3 linked regions of the Caenorhabditis elegans genome follow. The protein of the gene in region 1 purifies or fractionates together with the protein of each later gene. This does not show direct contact. Each region holds a gene or a part of one and is shown in the gene's direction. Other genes may lie near its edges. The genes, in order: galt-1, rab-14 and R04E5.9.

Region 1 (9,564 bases):
TCAGTTCCAGCAATTATTTTGTATTTCATTTGAGTCTCCAGATATCCGCTACGTTTAAATTCCGATGTTATTCTGAAATATAAGTTTTTATTGAGATCTTATTACAATTAAAATAATTTCACTGTTCATGGTGAGCACCTTGAGGAAATGATGTTTGCTGGAAGAGTTTTCAGGATCACATTTTCAATTTTTAAACGCCGGCGACATGTAGACCTTTACGAACAGTCAAAAATACGTTTAATTTAAGCTTGAGTATGGTTGTTCTGTTTTCAATGTTTTTTTATGATTGTTTAAATTGATTTTTCCTCGTCATTTGAGCAAACTTAATTCTTTAAAAACTAATGAAATTTTTGACTCAAACTTGTGACTAAAAAATTTTAAAAATTTCTAATTTATAATTTTTTCTTTTACATTAATTCTAACTTTAGAATTAAACTACCAATCTTCGTTTTTCAAAAATATGTACTTAAAAATAGTTCAAAACCAAAACTGTATCTGTGCCTTGTTTTCGAGATGAGTGTGAGCTTCTTGAATAATGGATCTATGATTTATTTTGTTTTGCCCATTTCGTCCAAATTTATGTTGCATTCATCGTTATGTAGTCTGGATAAACAACAGATTGGAGAAGTAGCAAACTGAAGAAACCCCCTAGTTTCGAAGAATATTATTCATTTGTAGATTCCATGCAAAGTTTCATTTTGAATTTCATTTTTCAAAAAATTTAAGTTATATTTTGATCGGCTTCTTAGGATCCGATTATACAAATTTTGAGACCGCGGGTATCTCATAAGTTTCTCACTTATCAGTTTTTCCCACGGTTTCATATCCTTCTTTTTTCGCTTTTCAACTGCCGTATTTGCTCTCAAGATACGAAATATCTCACATGATTGTATACGGCTTTAGATGTGTTATACTAATCTTTTGACTTTTTTAAATTTAAATTGACATTTATTATTATTAAATTTCCAATCTTCAAAGCAGCTTGGAACATGCGTTCCTCAATTATTTTCCCACCCTTCTTTTTGTTTTTAGTTTTCCTTGTTCTGTCGTCATGCTTATTTTCAGTCTCGTTTTTCTCGTATTCCGGGACATCTTCGCACGTCGTTTCTCAAAAAAGTTCAGTATATTCAAGTCATTGAGCCAATTATGTTTCAAATTGTATACTATACAAAATGACGTCCGCATTCACCCTCTCATCTATTTTAGAATCTTTTTCAGATGTCACTCAATTATCAAGACTTGACACTTGCTCTTCAGTTGTACACTGTTGTCCTTTGTGTCATCGGGCTATTTGGCAATGTCAATTTAATTATAGCAACATGTCGTCATAAGTCTTTACGCACAAAAATGGGTGAGAGTTTAGGAATTTTGTGTGAAAAATATTTTTATGAATTTTTTTTAAATGAATACTAAGCGTTTTCCCGGATTCTACAGCTTACTTTTAGATACTTAAAAATTAAATCTCCCGAACATATTCTGCAGCTTTCCTATCGGTTTTTTTTAGAGTTCACAAACAATTTCTCGCAATCACTAATCCATCTTTGAATGTTGATATTTTAAAAGAACGTGATAAAAGATAAAAGTCAAAACTAACAAATCCCGAAATCCTTGAAGTGAAACGTAACATTCAAAAATTATAAAATAATCCTAAAAAATACGTACCTTTTCTCTGATTTTTAGGATGCCTGATCATGATATCTACAATTGCCCATACAATATGTTTGGTTTCAGAGCTTATTTGTGTAAAGTTGAAACTGAGGTAAGCTTTATATATTTCCATTTCATTCATTAGAGGTAGTTTTTCAGATTCACCCAAACGCATCGGGACGAATGTTTTCGTTCTGTTATTGTTTACATGTTCGCCGTTCTTTTTCAATCAACTCTGTTTTTGATGATGGCAATTGATCTCTTTTTAGCAGTTATTATGCCAATACGGTAAGTACTATATACAACTTTTATTTATAGTTTGAGGGCTTCTATTTTAGCAAAAAAAAGACTATTTGATTTTCTGCAAGCTAAATCTGAATTTTTTCACTGTAAAAAATCCTAGTTTTTTCCAGGACAGTGACTTCACTAGTTTGACACCCCATTATTCCATTTTGACATGTTTTTTGTACATTTCAAAGGTTCCTATGAATATTTAACAATATTATATAAAATTAGAAATAACATTTTTGTTAGTTTACAATATAACAATACAGCAAAAAACCGCAATATTAGCTGCTGAACTTAAAAATTGGTTGCAAGACTAGTTGTAGAAGAATCTTTTTTATTTTTCATATATGCCGCCGACTTACAAAATTCAGTTCAGTTCATGACCATTTTGGAGCGTCTAGTTTTCTCTTGCAGTTAGAAACGAGCAATTGAGTTGCGCACTGAATCAGATTTGTTTTCAAAAAGTCATGCTCTCGTCAAACTATTCTAGATAGTTTCAAAAGTTGTGCACTTTTGATGGTGGTGTTTTTACAAAATAAAAGCATGCTTTTGAAAAATAGCAAATTTTGAGATTTTGGAATCAACATGCTGAAAATAGAAATTAATGCGTTTTGTGATGTCATCCCACAACAATTTTGATTGCCATTTTGTGATATGATTTACTTTTTCCTGGAATTTTTAAATTTTTAAATACTCTTCTCTGTCAACTCCACTACGTGCATTTGAACTCGATATGCTCGCCAGCAGTTCAGTAAACAGAAGAATGCGTGTGGATCTTGGAGAATAAGTGTAATTCTGAGAAATTGGGTGGGAAGGGTTGTTGCGATGACGTTTTCAGCTTTTTTTTTCGGAAGGGGATGGATTTGTTGGTTTTAGAGGGATTTTTCTATTTGAGAATGCTGGAGAGGTGCTTGATGAGGAACTATTAGTTCTAGTATTTGATATTTCAATGTTTAAGTTGGTAACGCGAAAAGATCAAAAGACCACAAAACCACGGGTTCCGAACACATTGGCACTTTAATTTCCTCACTTTAATTTCAATTTTCAGACACAAACTCTGGCGTCGTGGTCCATATTTGTTTGCTCTCTGCATTCCGCCAATGTTGTTCTCCTGTTTTGCTCTTTTTATAGAAGAAATCTACATCAATCACGACGATTTGCTCATCTGCACGGTGACTCTTGGTTAGTTGATTTAGTGGGCATTGAAACAACTTAAGCACTAGGTCAAGTTGTTTAAAAACGGAAATATGATCATCTAAACAAGGTACTTTAAAAATTAGTTTAATTTTACTACTTTAAGAATTTTAAGGAATTTCGAGAAATAATTTTTTTAGCTGCTCCACCTGCAGTCCGGTTTTGGGGTACGCTCATCACAATTTCAACAATATTTCTGGCCGTTTCACTAATTTTCGTAACAGCCTTTAAAGTTCATATTAACGGTATCCATTTTTGAAAATATTCTCAAAACGATACTTCTACATTACAGAACGAGAATCAGCACGAAGGATACTAAGACACTCGAACAGTATTACAAGCAATACAAAATGTTCAGATTCAAAATTGCTCAAGTCATTGTCAACTCTGATGTTTGTGTTTGTGTGCTCGTGGAGTTTATCCATTTTGTTATCACACGTTTCATTATATTTTACAAAAAATGTCGCGTATGAAATTCAAAAGTACAATGTAAGTGTGCTTGCAAAAAGTTTCCATGGGTGGTATAAAGTGCATTTTTAAATTGAAAAATTTTTAGAGAACATACTTTCTAATGTAGCAAAAGTTTTATTGAATATGAAAAGTGCCAAAAAAAACTCTAAGATTTTTCCATAGCTCAAAACATTTTTCGAAAAAATTGACTTGAATTTCATCAAAAGTAAAATTACAATTTCCAGATCCTCCTCTCCCTTCCAACATTCTGCCAAAACTTTTTTGTAACCGGTCTTCGATCTCCACGATACGCTAAAGCCTATGCAGAACAACTCTCATTTCTTCCTTTTGTCAGTCAACGGGTCTCCCAGTTCCGGCAGAATTCTTCTGTAAAATCTGCATTTGTTTGAAAAAATTTTTGCGTTCCAATTTATTTTGTTTTTTTTTTATTAATTCTGATATAATATGTTTTTATTGTTTTTTCACTGTGATCTGTTATGGAATAAAATTGGGCATAAAATTTGAAACACTATTTAATTAGAAATGGAGCCAGAAAAGTATGAAAAGACCACGGTTTTTGATGCAATCTATAAAATTTATTGTAAAGTTTGTGATCAAAATGACACATTGGCTTGATAAGAGGTTCAAAATACATTTGCAAAATGCAACATTGCTTGAATGTTTGTAAACGACACTCTTAGAGTTTATAACATTCAAAGTAAACAATAGTATCAAACGTGAATAGTATCAACATTTCACCATCTATGTAGATGAAAAATCAATGAATATTTCGTGGAACTAATTTGAATTATGTAATTTCCCACATTTGGTATGACGGGAACCATCGTGTATACCATTGTTACTGATAACAAAGTGCTCTGATAGCACTATACATTCTGTCCTTGAGTACTTCTGAATGCCTCGAATCACCGCCAGTAAAATAGTTCTTCTAATTGCATTATCATTTTGTATTACTGTTATTTATCACTTTCCAATAGCAACGAGAAGCAGTAAGGAGTACGATGAATATGGAAATGAATAGTAAGTAGTTATAACTTATCGTTATTGTCAAACTGTCTAAAAATCTACTTTCTCAGTTATCCCCTAATTTTCGTGTAAAGGAAACATTTTTAAAATAATAATGTTCTCAATGAAAATTCAGCCTAAAATTTGTAGTTTTAATTTTTAACGCGAAAACTATAAAGTGATGTTACATGATACTTAAATAAAGACCAAGGGAAATTGTCTTCCTGATGCAAACGCTGATTGCGAACAAGTGATTGATTAGGGAAGTCACAACTTCAGATGTTGCATATTTTATGATCCATCTCACATTTTCAAATTTCAATTATTATATAAATTTGCAGTGAAAACGTTGCATCGATAGAGTCGGATATAAAAAATGTACGTCGATTACTTGACGAGGTACCGGATCCCTCACAAAACCGTCTACAATTCCTGAAACTTGATGAGCATGCTTTTGCATTCTCGGCCTACACAGACGATCGAAATGGAAATATGGGGTACAAATATGTCCGAGTCCTGATGTTTATCACGTCACAAGACAACTTTTCCTGTGAAATAAACGGGAGAAAGTCCACAGATGTATCACTTTACGAGTTCTCGGAAAATCACAAAATGAAGTGGCAAATGTTTATTTTGAATTGTAAACTACCCGATGGTATAGATTTCAATAATGTTAGCTCTGTAAAGGTGAAAAAATAAAAGGAATATTTTGATAACTTTGATTTTCAGGTCATAAGAAGCACAACCAAGCAGTTTGTTGATGTGCCGATTCGGTATAGAATTCAAGATGAGAAAATAATTACGCCAGACGAATATGACTATAAAATGTCAATTTGTGTTCCAGCATTGTTTGGAAATGGATATGATGCAAAGCGAATTGTTGAGGTGATTATTGCGAAAACTTTGCCAGGACTTTTGTAGTGACCCACACATACAGCAAAAAAAATTTTGACAAAGTATTAATAATAAACTAATTTTACAGTTTATTGAGCTGAATACTTTGCAAGGAATCGAGAAAATATACATTTACACTAATCAAAAAGAGCTTGATGGATCCATGAAGAAAACGTTGAAATACTATTCGGATAATCAGTGAGTTTGATTTTAGAAAAATTTGATTTTTGATTCAATTATCTTGCAGCAAAATAACATTAATTGATTACACATTACCATTCAGAGAGGATGGTGTTTGGTATCACGGGCAATTGGCAACTGTTACTGGTAAATTTACTTTCCCAACTGAAATGTTTTAATAGAACTATTGATGAGCCAGACGCTTAACCGAATCTAAAGTACCGAAAATGGAATATAGCCTTTTCAAGGAAATTTTCTCCCACTTAACAAACTCATCAACATTTACAAAATGCCAAATTAGTTTCTCTTAACTCTTGTTATCACTCGAAATTTTTTTCTGGCTCTAGCTGTAAGAATCATTGTTGACACACACACACACACACACACACACACACACACACACACACACACACACACACACACACACACACACACACACACACACACACACACACACACAACCTTTAAACACTCAAGCAGTTTTCAGATTGTTTACTGAGAAACACTGGAATCACAAAATACACATTTTTCAATGATTTTGATGAGTTCTTCGTCCCCGTTATCAAAAGTCGGACTCTCTTTGAAACAATCAGTGGGCTTTTTGAAGATCCCACTATTGGATCGCAACGAACAGCTTTGAAGTATATAAATGCAAAGTAAGTTTTTAGTTCTCTAGGTGATTAATTTTTGAAACGTTTTCAGAATCAAGAGCGCTCCGTATTCACTGAAAAATATTGTTTCCGAAAAACGAATTGAAACAAGATTCACGAAATGTGTAGTTCGACCGGAAATGGTTTTTGAACAGGTGAGATTATAATACTTGAAAACCCCGGTACAGATCAAACAATCGATTTTTGATTTTGCCTTTTTTTTGCCCAACTCTTGCCAGACATTAAATATTCTAGTTCAACTTATTTTACAAAACTCTGTTTCAACTTCAAACTAGCGTTGGACTTAATCGTCTAGAAACAGTTAACCTCCTTGGGCATATCTTGGATTAAAAAAATTGTGACACATATTGAAGTTTTCTGTGTACTTTAAATTTTGTAAGAAAATTATTTTTACAGGGTATTCATCATACGAGTAGAGTGATTCAAGACAACTATAAAACGGTTTCCCATGGCGGATCCCTTCTACGGGTTTATCATTACAAGGATAAAAAGTATTGTTGCGAAGACGAGAGCCTCTTGAAAAAACGGCATGGAGATCAACTTCGGGAAAAATTCGATTCAGTTGTTGGTCTTTTAGACTTGTAGCTCATTTGTTAATTTATATTATTTATTAGTCAAATTCTCAAATCTATAATGCATAAATATTGTTACACCGCTAGCTGGAGATCGACACATTTACAATAATCCGTTGAAAATGAGAAATGCCCGCATTGGCTCGGAGAAGTGGTTTTGAGTCGTGGAGGGTAGGCAATTGTTACTTCTTGAGTGGCTTGAATTAGACGAAATTGTGATAACAGTTCTACAGAATCTCCATTTTTGGATTCTAACTGACATTCGAGGTATGGGTAGATAACAGCACTTCCTTTTTCCTTTTTTCGTATTACTTCGCTATCACTGATTTTTGTTCTAGCCCACACTTGGACATAATTGTTTGGCATTATCATTTCCGTCTGAAATTCTTTTAAATTCATTTTTTAAAGCTTGTTAGACATTCGACAGGCCGAGGCGTGATAAGGCGCGTCTCATCCGCCTATTAAGAATGCCTAATTGTAAGACAAATTACTACATACATACCACGTTTCCACATTTGATTGTAGTTATATCAAAACAATCTTTGAAATCATCCATATAAGATTTCAATACATCTTGGAGTAATTCAGAATTTGGAAGCTCTGAAAACTAATTTGTTTAAAAGTAATTCCACAGTTCTTACTTCGGATATCTTGAGAAGCATCAACCATACAAAGACAATGATTACTGATTACACCATTATCTTGACATGTAGCATTAGTTGGTTGAACTTCAAAAAGGTTCTTGCTTCTTTTCGAACTATCCAAGTTTTTGGAAAGGCTAATGAGAAATTTCAACGTTGAGTGTAAGTGAAAGTTTCTGAAAAAAAAGTTATTAGTAGCAAATTTCAGAAACTCGGACTCTACCGGTGTCCGGTTTTTTCAGGTTTTGGGCAATCCAGTTCTTTTTTTTTTGGTGTTACATAGTTCTTTCAATAATTTTTTTGACAGTACCCAAGATTTTTGCCTTGTTAATTAATATAACTGGACACAGTTTTCTCACAGTTAATAAAATCTGAAAAGCGACATGAAAAATGCCCTTTTAAAAACCGGACGTCAGATTTACCAGATTGGCTCAAAAAAGCTTACGAAACAAATTTCTGTGAATTTTCTCTCAAGTTCTGAAACTTCTCCGGAAACAACTTTCGAAACCTTGGAGGAACTAATATGTTCAGAAGTGGAGCTCGTTCTTCTGAAATTTAATATTTCAATTTCTTCGGCTCCCAAATCATTGATTACCTATTTTTCCAGCAAATGTATACCTATTCAGCGGATGAACCCGATTTCCATGATCACCAAGAATAATTAGAATTGTGTTTTCCAAACTTCCTGTTTTCTGAAAGATTTCAGGGAATTTCGGAATTATTTTTTGAAAATTAAATTTAAATATTCCAATCTGTGATACAACGTATTATCCAGTAGATTTAGGTTATTCGGGTCATCATGGGTCAAACTGAAATTTTCAAAAATGCATTATAGATCTTCTGAACAAATAAACCTCGATATAAATGTAAATCCAAAATGCGGAAGTTTTCCAAAAACTCGTTCGAATCGAAACCACGAGTCAATGAACACTTCCGCTAACAACTGTCCATCCAAACATTTTCTCCACCAATTATTCATTTGAGTGTACAAATGGTTGTAGTAAGGACGATAATAGAACTTTGCAGGTGGTTTCGAAAATCCACCCAGAAAATTATCAGGTGGATAATGAAAAAGTCCCCGTGACGTGTGCATAATATCGTCGTTGTACATTGTTATGTATTCTGGTGGCAGCTGTTTCCATATCCATTGAATTGTATCCGGGTTTAATGGAGTTTTTGAAGGTAGGATTTTGTTAATATTTACGTCTCCTGTCTCGTCGATTAAGGACATGCTTTCGGTTTCCTGGAGTTCGTTGGCAAAAATGGGAAGCATGTTTACTGCGCTGTTATCGCCGACCTGGAGGAATCAATATTTTTGTTGGATGGAGAAAAACGTTCGCCAAAAATTTAAAATTTGAAATTGATTGAAAGTGAAATTTCGAAAAAACATCAATAAAATGTTATTCGATTTCTGTTTGGCAGATTTTATAAAAGATGAAGGAGAAGCGTGATTTGGGAATTTGCTAGAAAATACCAAAAACTGTATGATATTCAGAAATACCTCGAAAAAAAACTGAAAAAAACTCGAATGAGAATGAAAAATCCAAAAAAAAAAAGGCTTTTGGCTTGCTTTTGTGACTTCAAATTGAAAAATCAAGTTCGGACTTTTGAAACAACCTCAATTTCACTTTTTTTTTCGTATTTTTTTTTTTGATTTTCCGATTATTTTTTTTTAAAGCAAAATCCCCATTCACCTTACTCCATCTTTAAGCCGACGTAGATATATATATCGCCTTCAAAAAGTGCGTAGGTGGGAATTTTTGTGCCTACAGTCAAAAGTTTGAAACTTAATAAAATTGTTTCACAAGTTTGTATATGTAACTGCTTACACAATTGAACTTTTTTTTAAAATATTTTCGTTTTATAGATATTATATTTCAAATACCATTGACACAAACCTTATTATAGGCATTAAACACAACACTTCCCAGACGATCCAAGAGGCCACTGGTCTTTTTCATATTCCTCCCGAATTGAGCTCGGGATGTTGAATCTAATCCT
Region 2 (9,115 bases), on another chromosome or scaffold:
CATGACTTTTTCAAATTACCAACTTGCACGTGAGACGTGTCTGTTGCGAAATCGAACTTTCTGCTTGCAATGAATTCTGCTCACTTTTCAATGATAAAGTTCTTATCTCGAATGCAATTCTATTTCGTCGTTTGTGACCCAATGTTTATTGATAATTCACAGGCTTATCGGTTTTGTAAAAGAGTTTTGTGAATATGTATATTATAGCAGTGCTACAGTATCGAAACTTCTTGCGAAAGTTTGAATGCTGACTGGGAGGAGACAGGGAGGAATACACATTGGCAGACCTTATATGAGATAAGAGTAGTTACATGAAGTTGGAGATTGAAACAAAAAACAGACATGATGATAAATAAAACACCCATAGAGGTAGTTTGTCGACCTTGAATTACATTACAGATTTTCTAAAATATTCGGAATTTTGAAAGTTGGTAGAATAAGAATTTCTGACGAGTTAATTACAAGGATGCGAGAGAACATACAGAAAGTTGGAAAGTACATAAAGAAAGCTAGCTATCTATTTACATGTTCTATTTAGGAGGGCGATATGTCAAGTCCCTTGAACACCGGAGGTGGATATGATTTCGGAACGGTCCCTTTCATAACAGTTGGAAACGCCAGCGAATTGGCGTCGGACAGAAGCTTGTAGACGACTTTATCAACTGGCTGCTGGCTTGGGTGATAATGTTCGCTAATTGGGTAAATGTCACCGGGAAGCAGTAGCTCTTTCGATATATCACTGCATTTCAGTTGGACCAGTCTTGGAGCACGATGTTGCTTTTGGGCTTGGCTTACTTCCTTCTCGAAGAATAGTTGGTTGATCTGTTGCAGGCGAACTTGCATCACTAATGTTTGATATTCAGTTGGTTTCGTTTCAATTCGACGTTTCATCTGCTCTTGAATTGAGCGAAAATCTCTCTTTGCCATTTCGGTGAGAATTGTTGAATCATTTCTGCAAGCCTTCATTTCTTCATACATTGGGAGTACGTTTTTCGGAAGAAGTCGATCTTTATAGGTGTTGTAGTACATCTCGAACAGGTCCATCTTCACAATCATATCCTGTTTCTTCAGGATTATGTTGGAACGACATCTAATTTCCGGGAAATCTCCATTCACTTGATTCCACAGATCTTCGAGATTCATTCGGGTTGCTGGTGCTTTTTTTAGCAGCATGTTCACAATGTTTCTACCTAAAATAGGCGCGGAGTTTAAACCATTTCAATTTTTTCACTTTGACCTACTTTTGGAGGATATAAAATTAAACGGCCAGCGATGTTGTTTGAATTTGATGGTACGGAACAACAGTGGCATACTATTCTCATGGAATGGATACTTTCCAGTTAGCAATATGTACAGTAAGACACCAAGTCCCCAAAGCTCGGTGCTATAGCTATGATGTGTTCTCGACTCGGCAGTGAGCATCTGAAATTTTATGTTTTTTAATGTGGAACAATATTTGAACTGCAAACCTCCGGAGCCATGAATGGAACGCAAACTGATCTACGAGTAAATTGCGCTTCGGACTGATCTTCCTCACAGCTCATGTCTTGAAGGAAGCACGGACGAACAACCCATTTGTTATGTGCATCTTTCTTTAGGTAGAAGCTTCTAGGCTTGAAGTTTTGGAGAATCACTTTTCTCGAATGACAAAATCGAACAATCTCCACAACCTTTTGGTAGATACTCATCACGTCGTTTTCAGTTATTTCATCAAGACGCTCGGTGGCGTAGGAGTGAATTGTAGCCGATTCGCACGGATTCATAAGAATGTATCTGTCGTTACTCTTGATAATTTCCATTCTCTTTGATATGCAGAGTTCGCTGAATTATTCAAAGATTGTATCAACTTTCTGACTTTATGACGTCAGCGTCCCGATTCTGACTTTTACTTTTTAAATGATTTCATAATCCCCCCTTTGTTTCATCATATGAGCATTTTTTTTGACTCACCTTAAACGGATTTCATCAGCGGTCATGGATGAGATGTCGGTGGGGATTTGAAGTCGTCGAATGACGTCAATCACTTTCGACGCTTTCCATTCAGGAAGCACGTGAGCGGTAAACATTTCGCGAGTTTGTGAGCAAACAGCGCGAGTAACAAGACCAGTTCCATAAATGACAAAGATTCCGATAATTTCACCGTTAACCTTAACATTGATTCTTTTGAATGAGAAGATTTCAAATTTTAATTTCAACTCACCAAGTGTTGGGCACTATATGGGTTCACATGTGGTGCGGAGCTGGATGTAGCTGAAAACTGCTTCGACTTCTCCTCTTCCTCGAGTTCCTGGATCAAACGCAAGTACTCATTCTCATTCAACATTGTTGGTATGCGTTGTTCTGCTGGATGATCTCCATTGTTATATAGATCCGCAGCCGGAACCATAGATCCACGTGTCAGTTGCACGTAGTGATCATTCAACGCTTTGATGATGTGCGGGGGTAGACGACCCAGTGGACGAAGTTCAAGTGTTTTTGCAGGTCCGATTGAAGAATAGCAGATTGGAAGCGTCGTGCCAAAATTCTTTGGATCAATCTTCGGAGCATTGCGAACTCTATAGTGGTACTCTGCTTTGACATTTGGGAAGACGACATTCTTCTTGGCTAGAACATCGTAAAACACCCTTGGACGACTTGAGGTATTTCCAACAAAAGGAAGAGTTGTGGGCCTCCTTCTTGAAACGGCATCCTGACGAACTGGTTCAGAAAGATCTTTTGCGGTTTTTCTGACTCCAGTTCTAGGATTGGCTACGGTTTTGGTTTTGCATTTTGTACGAGCCATACCCTGAAAAACAAAAAAAATAATGTTTAGGGAACATTGTTACAAAAGGAGAAGAAGCAAATGAGATAAAGTTGGTAGACTACAGACAAGAAAATGCAAAGAATGATAACCCTAGAATTGGTAAGAATGAAGGGGTGTTATTGCGAAACATTACTGGCTGCGAGGGTTTCACAATGAATTTTCCGTTTTTTTTTTTTTTAATATTTCGCAATACTACATTGTAGATGACTAGAGGGAGGACCGCCCTTCTTCACATATCACAGAAACGACGAGAGGAATCGGAAGAGAGCGCGTGGCGATGAGAGAAGCTCGTGCATCAGCAGGTATTGCGAAATATCATCGCGGCACTACGATCAACACAAGTGTCAGAGAAGGAAACTACGGGGACCGAAACGAGAGATAGAGAATGAGTGGGTAGATGGTCGAATAGTGATAAAATCAAATGTCTCGAGAACTGTAAGACTGTTCACAAACGAGTTGTAACCGATTAGGGGAGCCATGGTTGGAAATTGAAGTCATAATTTGCAATTTGATTAGGCTATTAAGCATATTTAATATTATAGTATTTTACTCTGTTCTGAAGATGAATTTGAAGAGCAAAACAAGAAGCAGGAGGAAATAATTGTTTTTTCCATGTCTTAGGCATCTACGTATATGAAAAAGAAAAAGCATGATCTCTTTGGAACAAGGAAAAAGATAGCTGGCTCAACACCAATGACAGATGAATAAGGAGAAAAGCTAGAGCCCACACACACGTGCGCATTCACTCGTCATTTCACTCTTCTCTCTTTTTGTCTCTCTACGTGTTTTTTTCTTCATCTCCAATCCGTCTCCTACGCGGCACATAAGGCGAGAGTCAGACAGCACAGTACAGCGCACACCGAGAGCGAGACGTTAGAGACACGCAGTAGAGACCAGTTCCGTTGCAAGCGTCGCGGTCGATAGTACGCGACGCGTCGTTTCTCAGAGAAGACAGAGATAGAGGAATGGAGGGGCCCCCGTTTTTGTCCAGTGTCTCTTTCCTCGTGATATTCCATTGCGTAGCACTCCTCGTACAACTGCTCCTCTCTCTCTCTCCGACATTGCCTCTTTTAGCTTTCTGGAGGCCAATGGATTCTCTATTGCTTTTGGACGTGGCGTTCATCTTTCTCTATCCCAACTACTTCCACATTTGTCTCTCTCTCCCCGTCGGTTTTCCCCTACTTCCAACTAATGACAACTTGGCAGTCAGTCTCTAATAGCCACTTTCTTTTGTGTGGTCTATCTATTCTCATTGCTACTTTTTTGTATCCTTTTTTCTGAAACGAATAACCAAAATATAATCCGCAACTTTCAGGTAACAAAAACACATAAAAATGACGGCTGCTCCTTACAATTATTCGTATATTTTCAAATATATTATTATTGGTGATATGGGTGTCGGAAAATCGTGTCTTCTTCATCAGTTCACAGAAAAGAAGTGTAAGTCCCGCATTCCTGGAAAATCGATATATCATGTTGTTTGTGTCAACATTAGTCATCAACAAGAGACCTGTTCCTCCGGTCAATAACCACCGTACAATCACTGCGGGCAACAAACGCAAAAACTAACTATAACTAACTTTCAGTCATGGCCGACTGCCCGCACACAATCGGCGTGGAATTCGGCACCAGGATTATTGAGGTCAGCGGACAGAAGATCAAGCTTCAAATCTGGGACACGGCGGGCCAGGAGCGATTCCGCGCTGTGACGCGATCATATTATCGTGGAGCAGCCGGAGCCTTGATGGTCTACGACATCACTCGCCGTTCTACCTACAATCATTTGAGCAGCTGGTTGGCCGACGCAAAAAGCTTGACCAATCCAAATACGGTAGGTAAAATATATACTTGGTTTATAATTTTTACTCAAAAGTAGGGTTGAAAAATATATAAAAACTCGAATTTATACTTTATAAAAGCATTCCCAAGTTCCAAAATTAAAGCGAATTTGAACTTTCAGCAAAATTTCAAAACTACATAGATGTACGCCATGTTTAGTAAATTGCAATTTATGAATTTTTGCAAGCATAACATTTATTTGCAGCTCAAAAGATCGTAGACTATAAACTGAATTTCAATCAAAATTCTCATGAATCAGATTTAAGCTGGAAAACATTCAATCTGTATGTGCTCTAAATTGTGTGTTTTATCGTTAAACTAATATCTAAAAAAAACGAGTTAAAATTGGGTTATCTAGTTTTATTTGGAGAGTTAAAAATCTACCTGTATTAGTAAGAAAACAGTATTTCGTCCACTTTGCACTGATTTAATTTTACAATAAAAATGAGATTCAAGCACCAATTCTCACAAGTTCCTTTTTCAGGCCATCTTTCTTATCGGAAACAAAGCCGACCTCGAAGATCAACGTGACGTGCCATACGAGGAAGCAAAAGCTTTCGCCGAAGAAAACGGGCTCACTTTCTTGGAGTGCAGTGCGAAGACGTAAGTTTCTTCCCCCCACCCCCCCACTGCAAATTCATCAATTTCAAATGGCTTTTTTTTCAGTGGCAGTAACGTCGAAGACGCTTTCCTCGAAACGGCCAAGCAAATCTATCAGAATATCCAAGACGGAAGTTTGGACTTGAACGCCGCCGACACTGGCGTCCAGCCAAAACAGAACTTGCCACGTGCAGCTGAAAATAATGGGAAGAAGGACTGCAACTGCTAGTTGATGTGTGCAAAGTCCCTTCTTCCCCTCAAATCATTCCCAATTGATTTTAATGTATTTTTTTAAATTATTACTTTCTAATCCGTCTATCTGTATGTGAGAGCTTGTCACCCATTATCATTAAAATGCCAGAAGAATCAACATTGGGTGGTATGGTTTCTTGTTTCCAAATTCTAGTTGCCTGTCAAAATCTAAACTTGTAATCACTATAAAACTACTCTGAAATTCAGAACTTTGTGTCACTTTTACTTACCAATTCCCAGTCTTTTTCAGTCCCCCACCCATTACTCACTATCATCATCGAACTGTGAACCGTTCATAATATAACACTTTCGCTCACCCAACCAACTGCATATTTAGTAGATTTTTTCTGTCAAAAACCGTTTTGAACATTTTTCCCCCATTCCTTGTGTGATAAGAAACATCTATATGATCCCACCCCATTAAGTGCTATAATTGTGCTTTGAAAATCAAAAAAACTAACGATTTTTGTCATTTTTGTCACTTTTCCTTATAAATAGTTCTCTGTTGTTAGTTTTATGAACCTATGATTTCAGAAAACTTTTTCAAAATTTATTTTTTTTGTTTAATCATTTTTCAGCAAAATTCAATTGTACATATAATATTTAAAAAAACTATTCATTGAAGCATGAAGTGCTCAATCTTCAAAGTTAACATCACCAGTAATAGTCAAATGTGTTTTCAAGTGTGCGTAAATTTTTCTAATGACAGAGTAATCCGTGGCTGAAATGGGATTCTAGTCACGGGTGGGCAGCAAACGATTGTTTCCGGCAAATCGGCAAATCGGCAGATTGCAGGAATTGCAGATTTCCGGCAAATCGGCTAATCGGCAAATTGCCGATTCGCCAAATTTGCTGGAAAAAAAGAAACTTGCCAAAAAATTTCTGCAAATTGTGGTTTCGCACTTATTTTTTTGGAAATTTTAGAATTCCAATTTCAAATGACAAAATTTTACGCATCCTATGAATATTCCTACATCTATTTCGAAAAGTAAGCAAATTCTATGAAAATATGTAGACAAAACGGAAAAAATTCAAAAAAAAACGGTTTTAAGAGTTTCCGTTCTATAAAAAGTCCCTCTAAAAATTTCCGGGAAATCTGATATTCGGCAAACGGCAAATCGGCAACTTGCCGAAAATGAAAATTTCAGGCAAATCGGCAACCCCGCAATTTGTCGACAATTCAATTTGCCGAAAGGCAATTGCCGCCCACCCCTGATTCTAGTTACTCACCTAAATTAGTAAACTGTCAGAAATTTGAAAATTTGCGTAAGCACATTTCGCTTCACCAGTGCAATTGAAGCGCTTAGGCATAGCCTAAACTTTCTTGTAATCTTTATGAGATCTTAATTTTTCATAGATGTTGTGAACAACAAGAATTGGAAAACGATTGAATTCTAGAAACTATGTATAATAAGCTCAAAAAACAGCACCTGGATAGGCTTACAAATTAATACCACAATCATTTATAATTACTCAAAAATAGTATTAACCAAATAATTTATAATTTTGTGGAGATCTTACATAAACTACCAAAACTTGAAAACATATATTACAGCTTTTTACAATGTTAACCTTAACAAGCATTCTTTATTCACAAAAAGGGATAGTCGTAAAAATTGCAACAGAATAAAGAAAAAAAACAACGAGATGGAGCTGCGATAATACTTGAGGAAGGAAGAGAAGAAAAACAACGAAACAACTAATAGATTGAGGTATTTGGGAAATACAAAGTGGTATTTAAAGGATAGAAAAAAGGAAAACTAATAGTAAGTGCACTTGAAATTAACGATATTAATATTTTGAAACCTTGAAGGGAAGATAATTGGGTTAGTAAAAAATAAGATACAATGCAATGTTCTTGTTATGCAAGAATTTTTGGTTAGAGCATTGATTGCGCTAATGAGGTGTCTTTAATGTTAGAAGTTTTTGAAAAATTTAGGCAGTGACGACAAACTTGATGACCATAGTGAAAATGAGACCTGAGACGATTCCTGAAATGAGGAAAAATCCAGCCATCATTCCAGCCACCTGAGCCTTTGATGGATCGACAGTCTTTGAAGTGTACATCATGGAGAGTCCTGAGAAGTATCCACTTCCGAAGCTCATCGATGCGGCCACAATGATGAAAAGCCACGTGGATTCGAAGAAGACCGGGAGTGTGCGGGTCTCAGGGAGGTAGTTGCAGAAGATGAAGAATGGGATGTAGAGGAGACGGAGGTAGACTGGGATCCAGAGCTTGTTCGGGGCGGGCTGTAATAAAGACTTAATTTCTGTCAACTTTCAGAGGCACTTACCCATTGCTTTCTCCCGGCGACGATTGATCCGATGAAGGCAAACACGTTGAATTGAAGGAATGTGGTAACATCCATGAAGTAGTTCTCTAAAATTTAATTTTTTTTTTAAATTTACCAGCTTGGTGATAAACTCACGTGGCAATGGGAAATCGTAGGTTCCTCCTTTCTTCTCATCCTTAACGTACATCATGACTCCAGGGAAGATTGAAAGCGTGACGAAAAACACCAAAAATACATTAATAAGTTGTGGGAAAGCCTCTTTGAAGGTCGCAATGTAGTTTGCCATCTTTCCTTCGTTGTCAGCTGCTTCCTCATTCTTGGCGCGTTGTCTTTCGGCACGTGTGCTGTAAAACTGGTAGAAGCGTTGCTTCTTAAGGATGTGGAACGAGATGAAGCAGAAGACCAATGTGATCAACGCAATTGAAAAGTAGGCGAATGATCTATCCAGGATGTTGCGAGTGACAGCCTTGGTTGACATACTGAGCAAGGTAACGAATGTTCCGCACAAGTTATTTCCAATGATGACAGCATTGGTGTACTTGAATGGAAGTTCAGAAGCGAGGCCGAAGATACTGTTTTGATAGACTCCATTTGCTCCGTTCAACACGATGATTGTGATGATGGTAAGAGTGAAAAATCCAGTGAGCCCTGGAAGTATGTAGATTAGTTGAAAAAAAGAAGATATCGATGTTTGATGATCTGCAAAAAAAAGTTCACGTGTCCTTATCACTCACATGTGGAGGTTTCGACGTAGATGAAGATCATAGTAGTGATCACACAGACAGCTACGATGGAGAGTCCGACAGTGATGCGGCCAGCAAGTCCTCCCCTGAAAATTGAAGATGCATATTTGGAATTTAAAAAAAAGTTTTGAATTAATTGTGACTTGTTTTTTAGACCAGCATTATGAAAGTTCGTACTGTGGCAGGATCATTTCTCAGATTTTGGAGCAATTCAATTCAAGAATTAACTTCAAAACTTTTATTGATGTTACCTTATTGACCACGCTTTCAAAAAATATTTGATCACTTTTTCTTCAGACACCCCCTTCAATAATTATACCAACTTCTCAATCTAATTCGTAGATCTTAAAGAAACCAATCGACACCTTCTCCCGCGTGTCACATTTTTTTTGTTGCGAACGCCGGCGCATCAATTCATCATTTTCTGTCGACCTCTGGCACTTATCTCGCATGCCACAAGTTGGCAGCGCTGATAAGCGACGATGACCTTACTTGACGACAATGAAGATGTTGAGAAGATTGAGAAGAAGGTTCGGCACTTGGGAAGCGATTGTTTGGAAGCTTTGGAAGTTGGATGAATAGAC
Region 3 (11,501 bases), on another chromosome or scaffold:
TTTCATCGGTAATCTCTGCTTGAAGAAGTTCTTCTGTTATGTCTTCTAATGTGATTAATCCAACAAGTGTAACTGGATGGTCTTCTGGATTTTCTACCTGTGGCATCATGGTTGCTTCCACCAATTTCATCGATTTCTGAATTTGAATAAGGTTTACATGATAGGAAAATGGAAAAATCATTAATGACGTTTGCCTTTAACAGTTGAAATTTTAAAAAATTCGGGCAATAAACAGAAACTATAATTTATTATCTGAATGGGTTTGAGTTACTGTCCATTATCTACTACTCGAATGTGGTTTGTTTTTCTTTCTGCAATAAACAAAATACATATGTTTCAGAAAGTGTTCATAATCACTTTTTAAAACATAATCCATATTTTACCCCGAACTTTCATCTAGTACCAAAACATACCAAGATGAAGCTGTCTACTGTACCATCCGCAAACTTTCCATGGTGATGCTTCTTAACTTCCGTAGCCTTAGCCACCATTGCAAGATGATAATCTCCCAATTTGAACTCATCCATCAAAGCTGTCAATGGCATACTTTCATCTACAATTCTCAGCCGTCTCTTGTTGAATCTGGCTACTGCTTTCACTGTGATATTGTTGTCCTTCCCAATCAATGCCAAATCACTAACGTACAATAAGTTTTTCACCTAGAAGCATTAAAAATTTTAGTTAACTACATTTGAGTAACTGCAACCTTATTCCTGTTGTTTCCCTCAAAAACTGGAATTCTGGTGTACCCGGAATCAGAAATTTTTGTCATCGTTTCAGCGTTAAGAACTTGATCTTCAGACAGCATAAAAACGTCCTGAAAACTTTTCTAGAATTTTTGAGAATTATTCAAACTAACATCAATATCAGTCATAACGTCGCGTACAGACTTTTTCGTTAGTTCCATTGCTCCAATCGCTATTTTCAGAGTAGATAAATCCTTAAAAAAATAATTAAAGCATTATCCCGTTATCTTAAAACGTACAATATCACAGGCATCATTTTCCATGTTCATTTTGAGCATTTCTACCATCCTCGATCTATTCACTACATCAATGTCAACACCAGCATATTTGTCGAGAATCTGCGAAAAACTTGGTTTATTGTTTCTGGTTTCTTGTTTCTGGAATTTTTACTTTTCCAAGTGGCCACGTTATTGGGAATAAGAGAAACATGAAGAACTTGGTGATGAAAATTGTGTTAGCACCCACTGCCAATCCATACCTAAAATTTTGCAAATTTTCCATCAAACGGGACAGTAAGGGTTCTTGGATTTTAGATTTGAGATTTTTTTAGCACAATTTTCAAATTGGTAGGTAACTGAATTAGGAAAACTAGTAATTTTCTATCTGCTGGGAATGTACAAAACTTAACAAATCTTTGCGAGGCGACCAAAATCTGCAGAATAGAATGAAAATTAGTTTCCCGCAGGTAAGTTGATTAAAATCGATATAGGGATAAGTTTGAAAACCTTTTCCCGGTACATTGAACAACTTTAAATGTTTTTTTATAAATTATACTATTAAAATCAGTGGAATCATGTTTAAAAAGATGTTGGATTAATCTAACTTCACACATATGCTCTGCGGTAGAATTTCTCCAAAAACAACAATGCCAACTGTGGAAGCTACAAAAGCTATCAGACCTTCTGCCAAATCATCGAAAAGAAGTGTAATTCCAGTGTTGACAATCTTAAATTTTGAATAAAAAAAATAAGTTGACGTTAAATCTAACAAAACTCACAACATTCATAATAATAACAGTGCACAGTAACCGATTACCATGACATCTAATTGGGTAAATTGCTGCCGCATGCTTTTTCTCTCTTTGTGATCCTGCAAATTCACATAAAATTTGGTCTTTGATAAATAATAAAACAGTACCTGATTTCATCAAGATACTAAGTTCTTGCGGTGTCAAAGCCATTAGTCCCAATGTCAATCCGGAACACAGTGCTGATATGGAGAACAGTAGGCATAAAATTGCGCACTGAAATATTTTAGTTTAACGAAGGTAAGAGTTTTACAATTTTTTAATTCGAAAGCATTTGAAGGTGGACTACGGCTTATGGGGTGGCCAAAACATTTTCAAAAATATTGGTAAAAGTGATTTCTAATCAAAAAGCACTGAAAGCTCTGTTTTTATCAATTTTTTAGAAGTCGTCGGGTACTTGTGTATTATACCCCCGCCATTTTAAAAATTAATCAAATTTCCAATTAATTTATCCGTAAAAATTAAACGTGATGCCCATTTTCTTCGTAAACCTTAGGAATGGTGTTTTCCTAAGCATAAAAATACAAAAGAATTTCACAGGTTTTTAATTTATAAGTTAAAAAATTATTTTTTTAATGGCGGGGGTATAATACACAAGTACCAGTCGTCGGGAAAAAAATAATTTGCTTTGTTTTTTATTTAAATTGTGTTCAATATATTTATATACCAACATTGTAGACGTTAAAACATTTGCAACACTGATCTATAATTGAAATTTGGCATTTTAAGGAAAAATGCTAATAACCATCTCATGGTTGTTTACCTGAGCCCAAACAGGCATGAAAGTTTCATGAGTACTCTGGACAGCTTGAATCCAGGTTCTATCGTCATCGATTTGTATTAGTCCATGACACTCTGATTTTAGACAAATTCTCCATGGCTGGGGCCACCTGTAATTTACAACTAGCATTAACGAGTTCAAAATAATTGCCTTACGCTACGAAAGCATATTTAAAGACTATTTTCATATCTTTATGAATGTAGAAGGTGCTTTCTGATACATTAAACTCGGATGTCACGCAGACAGAATCAGTAAATGTCACCATTTCAACCTGAAATCAGAATGTGGAAAAGTTGGTATAGGCTGATAAATACATTTTCTAGTCCATGACCAAAAATCACAAGATCCACTTCAGTGTTTGCCTCCACCAATAACTCTCCAGCATCGCTGAAATTTTGTTACATTTTGTCGTACACCCTCGTCTGGTATTTTTTATCCCATTGTATTTAGTGCATTATCTAATTTTCTCTAATGAAGCTTTATTCTAAAGTAATGTAAACACCCAGATGAAATGCCATTATGACAATATACAAGCTTCACGTTTATGTCAAAACATGCAATTGAATTTAATTGAACAATGTAGTCCTTTCAATCAATAAAAAAGATGGCATTCCGTATGAAATACTTGTAATTACTTTAGTGCAAGTTGTACTGTGTATTAGAAGGTTCCTCATTTCTTACCCATATCCTAAAAATCCTGACGCGTCTACATCGCTTTCAATCCGAACTCCTGATACCACTGGCCGTATTTCCTGAATTTCCATCAATGTTTTTTTGTTTTCCTTTACGAAATTTCTCACCAGTTTTCCGTCTATGCATACAATGTGTGCACAGAGCAAAAGTAAACGTAGAAAAACTTTAATGATCATCAAATTAGACGTGGTATAGTGTGGTGGCGATAATGAATAAACGAGTGGTGAAAATGAAGAAAGTGCGTATCAGTAGGGGGCACTGATAACAATCTAGGTGGTTCATGTCTATGTGACATGAATGCTTGTTTTGGGGCTCTTTCAGTTTATGGGTGTCTAGAATCAAAATTTGCATGTGACAGGCTAAAGACAGGTTTCGAAGTGTTTTATCAATTTTGCATCCAGTCAGAAATTTTTGTTTAAAATATGATTCGTTTTTTCTCCAGTAATGCTTTTTGCCGGTTCATAGGAGATATCTTTTGTTTTGGGATAGGAAAGTAACTTTTTGGTTTCTCCTTTTTTTTAAAGCATAATCTATGAGTATTGGTGTTTTTTTATTTTAGTTGAACGTTCATTAATGATGTGACTACTTATTCAAAGCAAATCCAATAACTTCCACTGAAATAAAATTTCGGGATATTAAAAAAAATACAGCCTTATATTTTTTTGTAATTTTGTCACAACATTTCATGTTCATTTGGCATGACGAACAGCGAATAACTTTCATTTTTTAGACTATTTCGATCTTCCAGTTCTATCATCATTTTTGATATCCCTTATTTTCTTGATGACATTTTTGGGCAGTAGACGTGTCTACGCTGAAGGTTTGTTGTCCTATGAACGCGGGAATTGCAATTTTTTTCTTTTACGCTGAAAAAGTAATTTAAATAATGCTCTAGAAGTTTTCTCATCAATATTCGTTTGTCATGTTCGTTTAAGGAAGAAAAATTTAATGAAAAGTGCCCAGAATACATCTTCTCGGGACAAAAAATGCCAGTCCCCTACTTCATCCCGATCATTATTGTTTTCGTATCAAAAATTCATCAACCCTCACGTCAACATCTTGCTTTCATCGCCAGCTCGCCATTCTCAATTTTTCCTTTTTCTGTCCGCCTTATCTCACGTGCGCGCGCGTCCCGTCGTCCTCTCTGTTTTTTTGTAAATGTGAGTGTGTGGCAGAAAGCGAGGGTTTATAGGGCATTGGCGAGAGAGTGTGTGAAAAAGAGAGTGTGTCTTCGTTGTGTCTGAACACGCGACGCGCAGGGAGAGGGACGCAACGCGGTCGCTTCCAACTATTTTCTGTGTTCCTGCGGTGCGTGTGTGTATGTGCGTACCCTGCATCGATTTTTGGCTCGAGTAGTGGAGACGCCGAGAGTATGAAGTAGGTTTTTCCTCTAATGTTTAAATTTTCAAATTAACATTTCTTATTTCTTTCAGAGAGTTCATCAAAAAAGAAGAACCGATTTTCGAGGAGGAAGATGCGCATGTGCTGGGCGACGATGAACCAGATGGAGATCTGCCAGAACTTCCAAAGTAAGAACACCAGGAAAGTTAGCTCTTTTTTTACTTTTTTTTATTCAGAATTGCTGCTCGGCAGAGAAAATCAAAGATCGTGAGAAAACAAGGCAGGAAAACGAAAAGGAAGACTCGAAAGTCAAAGACAGGAGCAACAAAGCGAAGGAAAGGAACTAAACGACGACGGAAAACCACATCAAAATCGTTAGACAAAGGGGAAAGTATTGGAAGAGTCAAGCGATACGGGCGAGAAAAGGAACAAAAGCTTCATATTCGCCAAAAGTAAGTTTTTGAGAATTTATAAAGTAGTTTCTCAAAAAAAAAATCAGTAATGCTAGAGATAATAGAAATGTGACATTAAAAACTTGAATTATTGAACTCCAAAGCCAAATGCGTCGCATGCTCCCGAAATCATATCGGAATCAATTTTTCACTGGTTTTCTTCCAATCGCATATGAGCAGTGTCGTCCAACGTTAGGGTACGGTGATCAGATATCAGCTTTTCGAAGGGCAGTAACACGCTTGTAGTTCGGTCATTTCCTACTCGAAAAATTGTTGAGGGCTAATACATAAAGACATTATGTTCAAGCTTGCTGCACTGTGGTTCTGGTAGTCAGTCGCATTTTTCTGGCGATGCTCATACCGTGCAAGGCATTGCACTATTTGAACAGTGACGCAATCTAGTTGAAACTTGAATTTACCGACACTTCGACTTCTGAATCGGTCGTCATTCTACTATCACCCAATGTCCTGCTTCTAAAAAACTATGCTTGTTTAACAGAAGTTAATTTTATCTTCTGGTAAACGAGAAGCAGAAACCTTTCCATAACTACTGGAAATGTATCGAAGAAAACAGTTTTCCGAAAAATTATATGTGGAGGGGCTCGTACTGTTTATCGAAAGTTAATTCCAATTCAAAAGAAAAACGTTTAGCTTAGCAATGCAGCAAAGATACAACTTCCTGCACAATTTAACTTTTTGTCAAAAAGAAAACTGAAATCCTACGAAACATACATATATTCTGCAATTGACTTCAATTATATTCTTCATCGAAGTTTCACTCAAAAATTACTACATCGTGACGGCTGATTTCACGAGAAAAAGGAAAGCAGCACGAATCTATTTTCGATTGCTGTCACATGTATTTTTTGTTTTCAAATTTTTACAATCACTCAAAATACAGAAAATAAAATTACTACAGAAATTTTTATGTCTACATAATCATGTTAATCTGTAAGCATTTAAAATTCTGCTGTCAGAAGAAGCGCCACAAGAGTTTAAATATAGCTTAAAATTACGCAGTATTTTTTAATTTTGAATATGACTAATAAAATCATAGCTTAGCGTTCACATATTCTGATCGCCTACTAATTTTTCTATTTCTGTGATTCGGAGTATGATGACTTTCTGTGAACAATGTTGCATTTTTCATAACTCTCGAACTTATAGGTTTTCTGCAGATACATCCTTTTCAACATTAAAAGGTGGCCTGGAAAAATATATTTAACTGACGAATAGAAAACTTCTTTGAGGTTTATTGAGAAAAAAAAGCTCAAAGAAGGAATAACGGTTCAAGATATCTGTTTCAATATTTTAGTTTGTAGTATTACTTTGAGCTTGTTGAGAAAAAACCCAGAAATTTTCTCTCTCTTTTATTCTCTCTCTTTTTGAGCTTATTTAAATTAATTGTTAATATTTGCGGACTGTTAATAGCCAAACGATGATAAAAAATTGTTTACACCTATACGCAGTTTCAGTTTATAGCGGGCGATTGTTTTTCGCAGCACAACTCCAGTCCCTGTCTCATTACAAATTCATGAAGATAGTAGAGTTGGAACACAACCATTTATTTAACATTCGTAGGCAATCGCCTGAAATGAAATGACGTGAGCTTTAGCGCACAGAAAATTGGGAGCACGCAAATGATGAATGGTATCCATCAATCTCAAACACCGATATTTCGTGACGTTTTTCTTTTCGTGAGCCTATAATTCAATGTGACGTGGCAAGCGCTCTGAAATTATATATTACATCACTTCCGGGTTTAGGAAAATTCGAGGTCTGAATATCAGATCCTGAATTTTGAAAAAAAAAACGTAAATTTTTAAAAGTTGTTACTTGATGAATGTTGCACAAGAATTCTTCTTTAATTCTCATATAGAATTTATTAGAATAACAGAAAACCTTGCTGATAAATGCAATGTTTGGAATAAGCCAAAACATTAGCTGTCCTTCCCTGGTCTGAATGTCAAGCTCAATCTGATTGATAAAGTTCCAATTCAATTAACTAAACAACTTTTTTCAAAAAAATGTTATGATCAGATCGTATTCACAAAGTGCATCAGAAAACAGGGAATACGGGGTTCCTTGGCCTTCATTCCGAGATGACAAACTTTTTGGTGGCAAAGGTTCTTTGGGGGCAAAGTATCCAAGGAGACAAAGGATCCAGTAGACAAACTGGGGTGTGTCTTGGGGGGCATATCTTTGGTGACAACCTTTTTTTCAACTAGATTTTTATATGTATTTTTCAACTAATTTTTGTTCAAATTTTTCTGGAATAAGTTTTTTAATGCAATTTTCAATCGATTATCGGTTATAATTCCCTCACAATTGAATGTATGAACGATGGTCTTTTGGGAAAAGCTGTAAAACGTCCAACTAACTTGGAATATCGTGAGGCTCTTCCTGATGGCCTGATCCTTCAGATAAGAAGGATCGTAAGGGTACCTCCTGATGGTCTGATACTTCAGCTCCAAAGGATCACGAGGCTCTTCCTGATGTTCTGATCCTTCCGATCCGAAGGATCACATGGGTACCTTCTGATGATCTGATCCTTCAGATAAGAAGGATCGTAAGGGTACCTCCTGATGGTCTGATCCTTCAGATCCAAAGGATCATGAGGCTCTTCCTGATGTTCTGATCCTTCAGCTCCAAAAGAACATGAGGCTCTGCCTGATGTTCTGATCCTTCAGCTTCGACGGATCATATGGATTTTTGACAAAATTTGAAAAAAAATTTGAAAAAATTGACCATCAGGAGGTACCCTTACGATCCTTCTTATCTGAAGGATCAGAACATCAGAAGGTACCCATGTGATCCTTCGGAGCTGAAGGATCAGACCATCAGGAAGAGCCTCACGATATTCCAAGTTAGTTGGACGTTTTACAGCTTTTCCCAAAAGACCATCGTTCAAACATTCAATTGTGAGGGAATTATAACCGATAATCGATTGAAAATTGCATTAAAAAACTTATTCCAGAAAAATTTGAACAAAAATTAGTTGAAAAATACATATAAAAATCTAGTTGAAAAAAAGGTTGTCACCAAAGATATGCCCCCCAAGATACACCCCAGTTTGTCTACTGGATCCTTTGTCTCCTTGGATACTTTGCCCCCAAAGAACCTTTGCCACCAAAAAGTTTGTCATCTCGGAATGAAGGCCGGGTTCCTTTCTTTGATGGAAAAAGAAATTCACGAATTTTCGGCTTTTACGTCTTACCGTTTTTGAGAGCTATGTATCGTCAGTCTTCTCTTATCTACACAATTTTAATCATTAAAGCACAATTACAATACTTGCTACAGAAAAATAATTGTCGAGGGAAGCACCGATTTTTTTGTGAATCTTTATTCTAAAAGCCAAAATCATGCTTACCCCAAACATGTCATAACATTTAATTATTTCAGCGATGATGTCATTGTGGTCGATGAGGTCCCAAGTGCAGATAAAGTTCCCACTCCACCTCCTGCGCCTGCAAAGCCTACGTGAGATGCCAAATTTTTATCATGCTAAATTATAACAATAATCCCCTTTCAGGCCGTCGAACATTCTTGATCAAATCCTTTTCGCTCAGGAAAAAGTTCTTGCTCCAACTGATACCGCAAGAAAGTCGTTCACCAAAAACAAAATCCTTCCAAACGAACGACGCAGTGTTTGGTTTGCTTCTTAAGCCTTCTATTTTTAGAATGTTCCCTCGATTTTCAGGTAACTTCGAGATGATGTGAGGCGTGAAACACGACTGGTCCGCCCTCTACGCATAGTCTTTTTCATTGCACACACACACACACACACACACAAACAAAAACAGCATATATACCCTGTGCCCACGCTCATTTCCTTGAATGCACACCACGTCTTCGACGCCGTGCTGCGCCAACACGAGGCCCTGTGCCGTCGATGTTGCCGCCGTCGCCCCCCCCCCCCCCTCCTCTAATGCGACCGACTCGCGCCCATCTTGTTTTTCTTCTACTCATTTTCTCTACTCGATCGCCGCTCACACGCACACTCTTTTATTTTCCTGTCTGCGCCTCCCCTCTCTGTTCGCTCCTTTTCAGACTGCCGGTTTTGGTGAGCTGGTGAGTGCGGCGGGGCCAACGTGATCCGTGTGTAAGATGAATAGAGAGATGAGAAGGGCTCGTCGTCGCTGCACGCGGCGTGACTCGGTCAGAACTCTCGTTCTTCTCCCTTTTCACGGATCAATGGCCACGATGCGTGCGCTCACAGTGGGTATCTCATGGCAACGCATTGCTTTGCTCCGCCTTTTTTATCGACAGCAAAATTTGTCTTTCTCTCCCGTCAACTCTTCTCATCTCTTACTGATACCTACGTGTATACTTCATTGTTCCAAATACTGAATGTATTTCTTGCTCAATTTTCGAGTGTACCATTTATACTCCTTTTTTAATTTTCTCAAACTCTCTGAATGCTTTAAAATATGTACATATCATAAATAAAGTTCATTTCAGGTGAAAATGCACGGACACGACAGACCGGGCTCATCGTCCGGTGGATATTTCAACCCGCCAAGAAACAATCAATATCATTATCCAGAGAATCATCATCATCCCTACCCCGAAAACATAGCTAACTTGGTACCGCCATCAAACTTCCAGGCCATGCATTATAATCACAACTACATGGCTCATGCGGCTTCCATTGCTCACACGTACGGGGGTTATCCGCCTCCATATCCATATCAACATCCTCACCAGCCGCCGCCTGCACATCCACATCATCTTCAGCATCCACACCCCTATGCATATCCTGGATACCCTGTTCCTGGTCAGGAAGGCCACCAAGTGCCGGCACCACAACACGGTGATCATGAAGCAAGTCCACCGCCTCCTCCACCACCCAGGAAATCAAGAGCTGGGGGATCGTCGCCGCCACCCCCACCGCCACCAAGAGTTCCGCGGACACCCCCGCCAAGAAGCCCTCCACCACGGAGACCACCGATGACTCCACCATCACCGCAACGCAGACCACCGAGAACTCCTCCGTCTCCGGAGCCACGGAATCCGCCGAGGACTCCTCCGTCGCCTATTCCACCACCACCACCACGTCTAAACAGTCACGATCGGAGAGCATTGAGAGCACGTCGTCCAATGGTTCATCGTCCGGTAGGTTCTCTTTTTGATATCATTGAGTTTTCGTAACTGAAATTTGAGAACATTATATAAACAATTTTTCCAGTTTACTGGTTTAACAAAATATTTTTTCAGGCTCCTTACGGTCGCCGCTCCATAAGTCAGGGACCTGGAAGAAATAACGACGACGTAAGTTAAACGGTTATGAATTCTAGTTACAAACTTACAATTTTTCAGTGGGGAAGTCGCGAGTACGGAAAATATGCCGAGCGTCTTGCAAGCACAGAGCTGAAAAAGCTGTAGGTTTTACAATGAAGGAGTAGAAAGGATATATGGATTTTGCAGGCATCTCGAACGAGAAGATTACAAGCAAGTTTTGCGAGTAGTTGCAAATGCAGCAAAAACCTTCCGATTTGATGATTTTGAAGTTCGGTCTCATCTGCTATCCGGATACCGTTTCTACATGAATGGAGAAGATGCAAACGGCACAAAGCGTGAGTTAATAACTTGATGTTCCTTTGACTAGGCTGCAATTTTCTCTGACTAATTGAGCAGCAAAATTGTTTATTTTGTTAAGTATGATACCCAGAATAGTTTTATTTAAAAAAAGACTCATCTTCTATGTATCAAAACTTCTATCTTTATATCATTTTATGAAATTATTTATTTCAGAGTTCTCCATCCCACATAATATGGATCGGCCACCAGCCCCTCGTTACTGGATCATTGATAATGAAGTTCGAAGCAATCCACCATCGCCAGTTTTCCGTCCAGAAGCTTCGTTAAGTCCATCGGTCAATGTTGACTACGGAGAGGGGTCATCGAACCAAGCTGCACAAATGTTTGAGCCGGGAGAAGACCAAACTGCGTTCTATCGAAGACTTTTGGCTGGGTTCGCTGCACAAGGACGGACATTTGGACAGCGAGAAGGAGAGATTCCAGCCATATACGGAGCCGACGGTCTTTTGACAGAATGGGGATACGAGCTGCATCTCTTAAACCAAGCTCGACAATTAGAATCGAAGCCTCCATTGGTTCATTATGAGGAGGTTGGATTTGATCGTAAAGACGACGACGAAACGTATGAGCCCTATCAGGGCGGCCAAGCTCAGCCAGACGGATCTCCAAGTGAGTACAGCCCAAATCATGTTCGCCGTGGACCAAAAACTCCACCAGAGAGAGAAGAATCTGTGGAGTTTTCTCCGGGCCATATTCCAGTCGGCCCAAAAACACCACCAATGCCCGATGAGAGTCTCGAAGACGATAAGAGATCACCAATAATGGATGGTAATCAATTCGAGGAGATGGAACTGTATCCAATGGACCCAGAACAAGAGGTTTCGATGAATTTTGTTCCTGTGAAGCCTCAAGCTGTGGTC

The links.
Region 2: the proteins of galt-1 (region 1) and rab-14 fractionate together in Caenorhabditis elegans (co-fractionation; one large-scale study listed by BioGRID). This does not show direct contact.
Region 3: the proteins of galt-1 (region 1) and R04E5.9 fractionate together in Caenorhabditis elegans (co-fractionation; one large-scale study listed by BioGRID). This does not show direct contact.

The regions. Positions count from the first base shown.
Region 1 is NC_003283.11:5,926,429-5,935,992, forward strand, and holds galt-1 (Beta-1,4-galactosyltransferase galt-1), read left to right. Parts: upstream 1-4,476; 5' UTR 4,477-4,495; coding exon 4,496-4,620; intron 4,621-4,946; coding exon 4,947-5,292; intron 5,293-5,334; coding exon 5,335-5,490; intron 5,491-5,587; coding exon 5,588-5,697; intron 5,698-5,746; coding exon 5,747-5,826; intron 5,827-6,044; exon of another isoform or gene 6,045-6,141; intron 6,142-6,166; coding exon 6,167-6,335; intron 6,336-6,381; coding exon 6,382-6,484; intron 6,485-6,746; coding exon 6,747-6,935; 3' UTR 6,936-7,007; downstream 7,008-9,564. Other genes in the region: srsx-17 (G-protein coupled receptors family 1 profile domain-containing protein), read left to right, coding at 1,219-1,351, 1,681-1,759, 1,807-1,935, 2,984-3,117, 3,270-3,374, 3,422-3,618, 3,825-3,989; M03F8.5 (Glycosyltransferase family 92 protein), read right to left, coding at 8,282-8,372, 8,418-8,860, 9,462-9,564. UniProt on the Caenorhabditis elegans protein: Catalyzes the transfer of beta-galactose from UDP-galactose to position 4 of alpha-1,6-linked fucose at the reducing end GlcNAc in N-glycan cores.
Region 2 is NC_003284.9:15,601,639-15,610,753, reverse strand, and holds rab-14 (Ras-related protein Rab-14), read left to right. Parts: upstream 1-4,118; 5' UTR 4,119-4,137; coding exon 4,138-4,243; intron 4,244-4,389; coding exon 4,390-4,634; intron 4,635-5,126; coding exon 5,127-5,245; intron 5,246-5,308; coding exon 5,309-5,471; 3' UTR 5,472-6,119; downstream 6,120-9,115. Other genes in the region: Protein nipi-3, read right to left, coding at 535-1,190, 1,242-1,422, 1,470-1,821, 1,951-2,147, 2,201-2,782; ent-2 (Equilibrative nucleoside transporter 3), read right to left, coding at 7,430-7,744, 7,789-7,874, 7,924-8,436, 8,523-8,617, 9,024-9,115.
Region 3 is NC_003284.9:8,804,112-8,815,612, reverse strand, and holds R04E5.9 (uncharacterized protein), read left to right. Parts: upstream 1-4,470; 5' UTR 4,471-4,619; coding exon 4,620-4,624; intron 4,625-4,680; coding exon 4,681-4,776; intron 4,777-4,824; coding exon 4,825-5,040; intron 5,041-8,442; coding exon 8,443-8,520; intron 8,521-8,572; coding exon 8,573-8,692; intron 8,693-8,740; coding exon 8,741-8,744; 3' UTR 8,745-8,955; downstream 8,956-11,501. Other genes in the region: Metal transporter cnnm-2, read right to left, coding at 1-136, 414-659, 707-817, 860-940, 986-1,084, 1,137-1,224, 1,570-1,691, 1,744-1,835 and 6 more; R04E5.8 (JmjC domain-containing protein), read left to right, coding at 9,508-10,155, 10,258-10,311, 10,360-10,421, 10,468-10,616, 10,795-11,501.